2 linked regions of the Canis lupus familiaris genome follow. The protein of the gene in region 1 purifies or fractionates together with the protein of each later gene. This does not show direct contact. Links are inferred from orthologs where the notes say so. Each region holds a gene or a part of one and is shown on either strand. Other genes may lie near its edges.

The links. The genes of interacting proteins can lie anywhere in the genome.
Region 2: the proteins of PSMD7 (region 1) and USP15 purify together in Homo sapiens (affinity purification with mass spectrometry; 3 studies listed by BioGRID, with this or other methods). This does not show direct contact. The link is inferred for Canis lupus familiaris from reciprocal best matches to the Homo sapiens genes PSMD7 and USP15.

What each region holds. Positions count from the first base shown.
Region 1 is NC_049226.1:80,364,399-80,368,605, reverse strand, and holds the start of PSMD7 (26S proteasome non-ATPase regulatory subunit 7), read right to left. Parts: upstream 2,814-4,207; 5' UTR 2,710-2,813; coding exon 2,636-2,709; intron 369-2,635; coding exon 277-368; intron 1-276.
Region 2 is NC_049231.1:5,872,929-5,877,266, reverse strand, and holds the start of USP15 (ubiquitin carboxyl-terminal hydrolase 15), read right to left. Parts: upstream 2,820-4,338; 5' UTR 2,762-2,819; coding exon 2,673-2,761; intron 1-2,672. UniProt on the Homo sapiens protein: Hydrolase that removes conjugated ubiquitin from target proteins and regulates various pathways such as the TGF-beta receptor signaling, NF-kappa-B and RNF41/NRDP1-PRKN pathways.

The DNA of each region.
Region 1 (4,207 bases):
TACAGTTACCCTTTTGTCAACACATTGTCTATAGTAGTTTTGCTGCTACAATACAGGGCTGAGCACTTGTAATGGAGACCATATGGCCTGCAAATTTAAAATATTTACTCTTCAGTTTAGTGAGTAACTTTTAGCTTCCTTCCTATACTTCAGCAATTCTGACAGAGAATTTCTGGGTTGTAGTAAAAATGGAAATCACAAAAGTCTCTTTTATTAATTTTAAAGATAATTGACATTTTAAGCCAGGTGTAGAACAATGTAAGATTTGTCTTGTACCTGCAAAACTGTTGGATACGTCGAGTACCTTCTTTTGCCATGACCCCAAAAGCACACCGACAACGCGCTTCTGGTTTCCAACCTTGCCTATTCTGAAGGAGAAAGCAGAAAGTCAGTCTGATAGGCACACAGAGACATGGAGCCAACAATTAGACACTCAATACGAAATATCAATGGTACAGATACAACTCCACTTACCTGGGAACTAATCCCACTAAACCAATGTAATAGTGTCAGGTCAGTCCTTAATATTAAATTCTAATAAATACAATGGGTAACTCACCAACTTTGTACATCGGCAGTATTTACACTGTTGACTCCAAGAAACACATGCTTGGAAAAATGTCAAACTTTCTAGAACCTTAAAATGGAGAAAATGGACACCCCCCACCCCCCCGCAGGGCTTAAGAGTTTTAAAATGCTATTTGGTTGGTGTTTGCAAAGTATATTTAAGTTATGCTGCCACTTTTAACTTTTTCTTTTGCACTTTTCTCCTTCAAACTTTCCCCATCTTCTGTATCCTTAAATATCATCAGAGATAAAGATGCTAAAGCAGACGACGTTCATGGGCTGGCTTGCCAGGTGTTCTCTGGGGTATCTATTCCACGCAGACAAGCCCCACCACAAGTCCTACTTCTCTGAACCATCTAGGGGCTCAGAAAGTGGGTTCTGACGCCGAGGTAGGCGTGTACCCTCTGTGGTCTCCGAATGGCTTCACCAGGCAGGATCAGAAGTGAGCTGGTGACTGATCACACTGACAGGATGGCTGGAGGAGTGAGAAAGGGTTTGCTTCGGAATTTCTACCTACTTGTCAAACCTCCTCAGTGACTTCTGTCCTCAGGAGCTGCCAAGTGTTTCACTTACACAATCTCATTTCATGGACCGTCATGTAGAATTCTCCCCTAAGCACTAGCGGACGTGAGACACAGAGCACACTAGAACCCTACGTTCAAACGAAAGACACAGGCCACCGTGAAACGAACCTGAGTTCCTTAACAGTCACTGGTTTCACTGTAATGTTTTCCTAAACATCTGGTCTGGGAAATCTATAAATGCTCACTGAATTTGGGATTTGGGTCAGAGTGAAGGATTCTGTATCCCTGGTGGTTCTGATTTTTGGGGAAATCTTATACACCGAATTTCCACACTTCAAAGGAAACTTCCACACTCACGTGCTTTTCTTTTGGTCTACAAAAATCTGACTGGGTTTAAACAACAACAACAACAACAACAACAACAAAAACAATCCCTACATCTGGGCAGCCAGGGTGGCCCAGCACTTTAGTGCTGCCTTCGGCCCAGGGCGTGATCCTGGAGTCCTGGGATCAAGTCCCACATCGGCCTCCCTGCATGGGATGGGGCCTGCTTCTCCCTCTGCCTGTGTCTCTGCCTCTTTCTCTCTCTCTCTCATGAGTAAATAAATAAAAAATCTTAAAAAAAAAAAAACAAAACAAACCCGACATGTGTTATTACGACACCGCAGCTAGCAGCGGGTGTCTGCACTCCGTCCCCTGGATAGAAGTGAGAGGGAGCCTGTCCCAGTGGCACGTCCAGTACCCTGTGGGAGGAAGGAGTGCCGGCGGGACAGTGGGAACGCACGCCTGTCCCGTAGGCTGAGGGCTCTACAAAGCTGGGGACCCCGAACCCCACGGAGTCCGGTTTTATTAGCTCTGGTTCAGTGAGTGGGTCGTCCAAGGCAAGCTGCAGGGGAACCGGCACTTCACGACCGACTTTACAGCAGACGCTCCCCAGCGGGTCTTTACACTTGCCAATCGGAGCAATTACCTTGTAAAAGTTATGAACACGTGTAACAGGTCCAGCGGGAAGAACGGCTCCAAGACAAGGGAAGGGAAGGCGCAAGAAACCCTCGCGGGACGTTCCAGCTTCTTCATTAATGCCCAAACCTACTAACGCTCTCATTTTTAAAAGAAGGGGCTTGGCACCCAGTGTCGATTTCAGGTCACCATCAAAGGCGAGCGAGTCCTGCTCAGACGCCACGGCCCTGCCAAGGGAGCCCGTTCTGGGCGCCGAGGCCGGAAGGCCGGGGACAGCCTCCAGCGGCACGGAGGCGCCCACGAGGTGACGGGGGCACCGGGGCCAAACGGAGGCGCCCCCCGCGGCCCCGCCCTCCGCGCCCCTACAGCGGCGGCGCACCGACGTGGGCAAACGGCACGGCCAGTCCGGGCTGCGGGCTGCGGACTGCCGGCCGGGGCCGGGGCCGGGGCCGGGACGAGCCTGGGATTTAGGCTTCGCGACCCGTGAGTGGTCCCGGCCGCGGGCGAGTCGCTGCCCACCCCGGCCCAGCCTGCCCGTGACTCAGCAGCGGCGATCCCGGGAGGCCGCCCGCGCCCGCGCTCACCGGTTGAAGTGATCCACCACACTGAGCAGCACCAGGGGGTGAACGACCACCTTCTGCACCGCCAGCTCCGGCATCGCGACGCACCCCGCCCGCCAGGCCTCAGCCCTCGCGACCCGCACACTCCGGCAGCCGCCGCGGCTCTCGCGGACGCTCCAGGCCCGGCCCCGCCCCTTCCGGCCCGGCCGCCGCCGCGGGGCCTCCCCACTTCCGCTCCCAGAGTGCCGCGCGCGCCGCCCCGGGTTTTCGCGCCTGCTGCCATCTTGAGGAGGCGGGAGGCCGGAGGAAGCCGGGCCCCGCCCCGGGCGAGTCGCCGCGAGCTGCCCGGGACTTGGAAGCTCGAGGGGCCGCGGAGACTGACAAAGGTCGACCTCCTGGTGTGGGCCCTGCACCGGCACCCGCAGCGGCTGCTCGTTTTCGGTCTTCCCAGTTTGCAGCCCCCACCCCACCCCCACCGCGTTTGAAGACCGGAGGAAAAAAATTCTAGAAAAAAAAGGAATTCACTCATATTTCCAACCACCCAGAAAATGGTCACCTTTGTTCCAAGCCAGGCTCCTGCAGAATTTCTTGACTTCCGGTCTTTAGCGTTAGGGAACGTCGTTGAAGCCGATCTGGTGATTTATCCCATCATTTTTTTTTTTTTTTTTTAATTGTTGGGGAATTAACCCTTAATAACCACTGCGGACACTTGGCAGATCATCAGCCTGCCTTTATATTGTCCCACCGGTTTATGTTACTTAACCATTTAACCAGGGCTAGAAGAATTCAATTAATTTGTGCCTGGAGTCAGACCGTTCAGGTTGATTTTTCTTTTCCCTTTTTACATTTTTTTTTATTTTTTATTTTAAGGTTTTATTTATTTGGCAGATAGAGCATGAACTGGGAGGAGAGGGAGAGGCCGGCTCCCTCCTGAGCAGAGAGGCAGATTTGGGTCTCCCTGGGATCCCCACCTGAGCTGAAGGAAGGAAGACACTTAACCTACTGAGCCACCCAGGCGCCCCCAGCTTGATTTTCAGATGAAAGTTTAGGTAAGGGTTGAAGTCAGGGTGAAAACCAATACGAAATAGGTTTTGGTATTTACCTAGCAAAGAGATAAAAGGAAGACGGAGAGAGGGGGTAATGCAGGAGGCAAATCATTTAACTCCATACACGTTTATATTTCTGATTTTAAGCAAGAACAATATTTAAGCAACTTGAACTATTTGCTTATTGTTTGCCCTGTCTTTTCTTTGTTTTTAAAGATTTTATTTATTTGAGAGAGAAAGCCTGAGCGGTGGGAGTGACAGGCAGAGGGAGAGAGAGGAGCAGACTGAGGGGGATGTGGGGCTGGATACCAGGAGGCTGAGGTCATGACCTCAGCTGGAGGTAGATGCTTTGCTGACTGAGCCACCCAGGCACCCCTATTTGCCCTGTTTTTGTTTTGTTTTGTTTTGTCTTAGGATTTTTAATTCATTTATTGGAGAGACACAGAGGGAGAAACAGAGACACAGGCAGAAGCAGAAGCAGGCTCCCTGCGGGGACCCTGATGCAGGATCAGGATCCCAGGACCCCAGGATCATGACCTGGGCCAAAGGC
Region 2 (4,338 bases), on another chromosome or scaffold:
TATAAACAGCTAATCCAAATATCTTTTAAAAAGGCATTAAAAAGAGAAACAACTTTTTTTTAAGATTTTATTTATTTATTCATGAGAGATACACACAGAGAGAGGCAGAGACACAGGCAGAGGGAGAAGCAGGCTCCATGCAGGGAGCCCAACATGGGACTCGATCCCGGGACTCCAGGATCAGGCCCTGGATGGAAGGTGGTACTAAACCGCTGAGCCACCCGGGCTGCCCAACTTTTTAACAAGTTAAAAACAAGTTGTAGTGAGTTCCAAAAACTATGAGCCCAAGTAACAAATTATTAAATCTTTACCAGTTCTGAAATCATGCATATATAATGAAATTTGTACTTAGCCAATTATTCTCCTTAAAACTCTGAATCAAACTTTTGTTCTAAACTATTTTCTTTTTTGACAGATTTTACCTAATTGCAAATTAAGTGGCCTAAACCAAACTGGTTTTTGCAAATCCTCAGTACCATCCTGCTCCGGTATTTTTTCCCTTTAACTAAGAGGTATCATCAATTTGAGGACAAAAACGTTCACATTTTGGGGCACCCTGAGTGGCACAGTCGGTTAAGCATCTGACTCCTGGTTTCAGCTCAGGTCGTGATCTCAGGATCTCTCAGGGTCGTGAGATTGAGCCCCACATCAGGCTCATCAGGCTTCCCACTTAGCCGGGAGCCTGATTAAAAAAAAAAAAAAAAAAAAGACTTTCACCCTCTCCCACTGCCCCTCCCCAGCCCTTTCTCAAATAAATAAATAAATCTTAACAAAATTCCACATTCTGCTGTTATCTAAATATGTGGTCTTCAATGTCCCTTTCTTTAAAATGAACGCATTTAAAAGACTCAAATTTACGACTTCCTATATTTATTCTTTATGACTATTTCCAGGGCAGCCTGGGTAGCTCAACGGTTTAGCGCCTCCTTCAGCCCGGGGCGTGACTCCGGGGTCTTGGGATCGAGTCACACGTCGGGCTCCCTGCATGGAGCCTGCTTCTCCCTCTGCCTGTGTCTCTACTCAGAGTACCACCAACTACTACTCAGAGTACCAAAAACATAACATTAAAAAGAAGTAATATCCATCTGAATCATAGCCATTTTTAAGAGGATAGAGATCCCCATTTATGTTTTTTATGAGGTGGGAACAGGTTAACTAATGGGAAGCTAGGATTAATTTATCTTTTAATAATCCAAAGACCAAGGTAATTATGTGTCCTAGGAAATATCCAACTTCCACACAGGAATAAACATCTTACAAACACTGACATGCGCAGTAATGATCATTAAATCATCTAGAGATCGTATTTTCTGTTCTAGTGCAACAAGTGCATGTTTACACCGTTAGGGATTTTCACCATATAAACCCAGAATGTATGTAGCCCAACAAAGTAGGAAGAAAAGTACCAAGACTTAGATCAAAAAACACTTAAAAGTCAAGTCCCAAGACTGCCATCTGCTAACTTACTTCAAAATCCACTAATACTACAGCATTTTATCGGAAGTAAGTGGCGGGGACAACACAGCGACTAACACTTAACGTCCTCTCCTAAACAGATAATGTCTTGGAATACCTCCTCAAGATCGAGAGAGTACACCCCTATCACGGAATTTTCGTTGCCCACTTCACGGATGAAGACGGGGGGGGGGGGGGGCACAGCGATTCAAACTGCCTGTCCTCCAAGTCCTGCCCCAGGTGAGGCGGTGAAACGGGGACCTAACCAGGTCTCAGTCTTAGGTTCGTTCCCTCCACCAAGTCGTAGAGGGGCCCGTGCATCCTACACCGCCGCTACGGTGACAAGCAGACAAGAAAACAGCGGTCACTGTATATGAAGAAGCACATCCCTCCTCTTCTTCCTGACAAACACCACTTGCCCTTTAGGTCACGTATTCCCGTATTTAAGCAGTGCCGACCACCACCGGTATTAAATCCCTACGCGTGCTACCTCCGGCGTTTGCATCCTCTGCTATTTCCTAGGTCTCGAGGGTAGCAAGCGCGCTGAGCCTCCAGCGGACTTATCTACTTCGTGCAGGCCTGCGGCTCGCCCGCCCGGGAGGGAAGGGCTGCGCTTCCGAGAGGCGCGGCGGGTCCCGACCGAGCCCCCGCCGAAGCCCGGGACCACGTGGTTCCCCCTCTGCTCGGCCCGAGGTCCCGGACTCTGCCTCCTCCGGCCGGGGGGCTGGGGCTGGGGGCTCCGCGCCGCGGGAGGTGCCGGGGCCGGCCCACCTGTGCAGCCCGCCTCCCGGAAGAACGCCGGCGTCGGGCCAGCCAGCAACTCGCTCGCCGGCAGACGCCGCGGGAGGAAGCGAGCGGAGCAGCGGCGCGGGCCGCCGAGCTGTCAGCGCCCGACCGCGGGCCGCCGCGGGGAGCCGGCGTCCGGGCAGGCCCGAGGTGGGAGCGGCGCCGCGGGGGCCCGGCGGACCAGCGCCGCCGCCGCTCCCCCCAGGCCGCTGGGCGCGCCGTGACCGGCCGCGAGCCCCGGCCCCCCCTACCCGCCCCCGGCTCCGATCCTCGCCCCCGGCGTCCGGGGGCCGCCGACACCCCGCTCGCCCGGGGCGGCCGCCGCCGGACCTGCCCGCACCTGTCACTGGCGACAGACAGCGGCCCGCAGCCCCCGCCCGGGCCTCCGCCGCCCTCCCGCCGCCGCGGCCGCCGCGGCCGCCTTCCCTCACCAGGTGTCCCCTTTCCGGAGCGAGGTTTTGAGCAGCGTCGCGATGTCGGAGCGCTGGATGTCCAGATCCGCCGCTCCGCCTTCCGCCATCTTCTTCCACAGGCGGCAGCGACGGCGGCGGCACGCCCCGGAGCATTGTGGGAATGGCGTCGCGCGGCCCCGCCCAGCCGCAGGGCGAGACCAAAGCAGACGCTGGCGCGGGGGGGGGCCGCCTCGGGACAGCGGGCGGGCCCGGGGGCGGCCGGAGCGGGCGGCCGGGGTCTCCCCGCCCCCCGCCTCGCGGGCGCTGCCTGGGTTGCGCCCTCCCGGGGGGGCCGCTCCTCCAGCCCCGCGGTCCGCCGCTTCCCCGCCTTCCCCGCCCTGTTGCCCGCCGCCGCCTGCGCGCGCTCGTCTGCGCGTCCGCTCCGGCTGGAGGGCGCGGCGCGGCGGGGGGCGTGCGGACCCGGAGCTGCTGCCGGACGGCTCGGCGGCTCCGAGAAGCTGCTCGCGGAGCCCCAGCCGGAGATCGGCGCCCGAACAAAGACCCGCCCGAGCTGGAGCCCGAGCTGGAGCCCGAGCTGGAGCCCGAGCTGGAGCCCGAGCGCAGCGCTGGGCTCCGTGCATCCCCCCCTCCCCCCGCCCGCCCCGGGCTCCTTCCCGCCCTCCTCCTGCTGCTGCAGGTGGAGACCCTCCGGAGGCTGCCGGTGGCGCCTCCCAGGCACGCCCAGACGCCGGGCTGCAGTGCAAACCGCGCGCGGTGCCTCGCCGGCCGCGTGCAGCGTGTGTCGCGCCAGGTGCCAAGGGAAGGACACGTGCGAGACCTTTGTCCCCCTCGCCCCACACCAGCGCGTCCCGAACCACGTCTCCCCGCGGGCGTGTGCCCGCTCTTCTTTAGCAACCCCGGCTCCTAGGGTGGCCACGGTGCCACATGGGGAAGTCGAGGCTCAGCAAGCAAACGCTCAGGTCAGGCAGTGAGCGGAGGGGTGAGTGCATGACCTAGGTTCCAAGCCCCGCGCGCCCTCCGGCCGCCTCTCCTGTCGAAAACCCGCTCTGAAAAGAGGAGAGTCTGGGCTGCCCTGGGTTCATCTTTGTGGTTTTCTTTTCTTTTTGTAGACCTGCGTGCGGCTGGAGGCTAGCAGCGTGCTGCCTAAGGACCAGCTCCGGATTTGTTGCAAGTGAATCGTGGCAAAACTCCTGGGAGTATTTCCAAGCATGAGGAGGTCCAGAAATGTGACTGTAGGATGATGGAAGTGATGTGAAAAGTCTCAAAGACATTCAAGAATCCCTGCATGGCGGGGGGGATCCCTGGGTGGCCCAGAGGTGTAGCGCCTGCCTTTGACCCCGGGGCGCGATCCTGCGGTCGGTCGGCTCCCTGCATGGAGCCTGCTTCTCCCTCTGCCTGTGACTCTGCCTCATTCTCTCTCTCTCTCTCATTAATAAATAAATAAAATCTAAAAAAAAAAAAAAAGAATCCCTGAATGGGGGCAGGCCCAGGTGGCCCAGGGCATGACCCCGGGGTCCTGAGATCGAGTCCCATGTCCGGGTCCCAGCGTGGAGCCTGCTTCTCCCTCTGCCTGTGTCTCTACCTCTCTCTCTCTCTCTCTCTCTCTCTCTCTCTCTCTCTCTCTGTCTGTCATGAATAAATTAAAAAAAAAAAAAAAGAATCCCCGCATGACCTCTTATCTCCC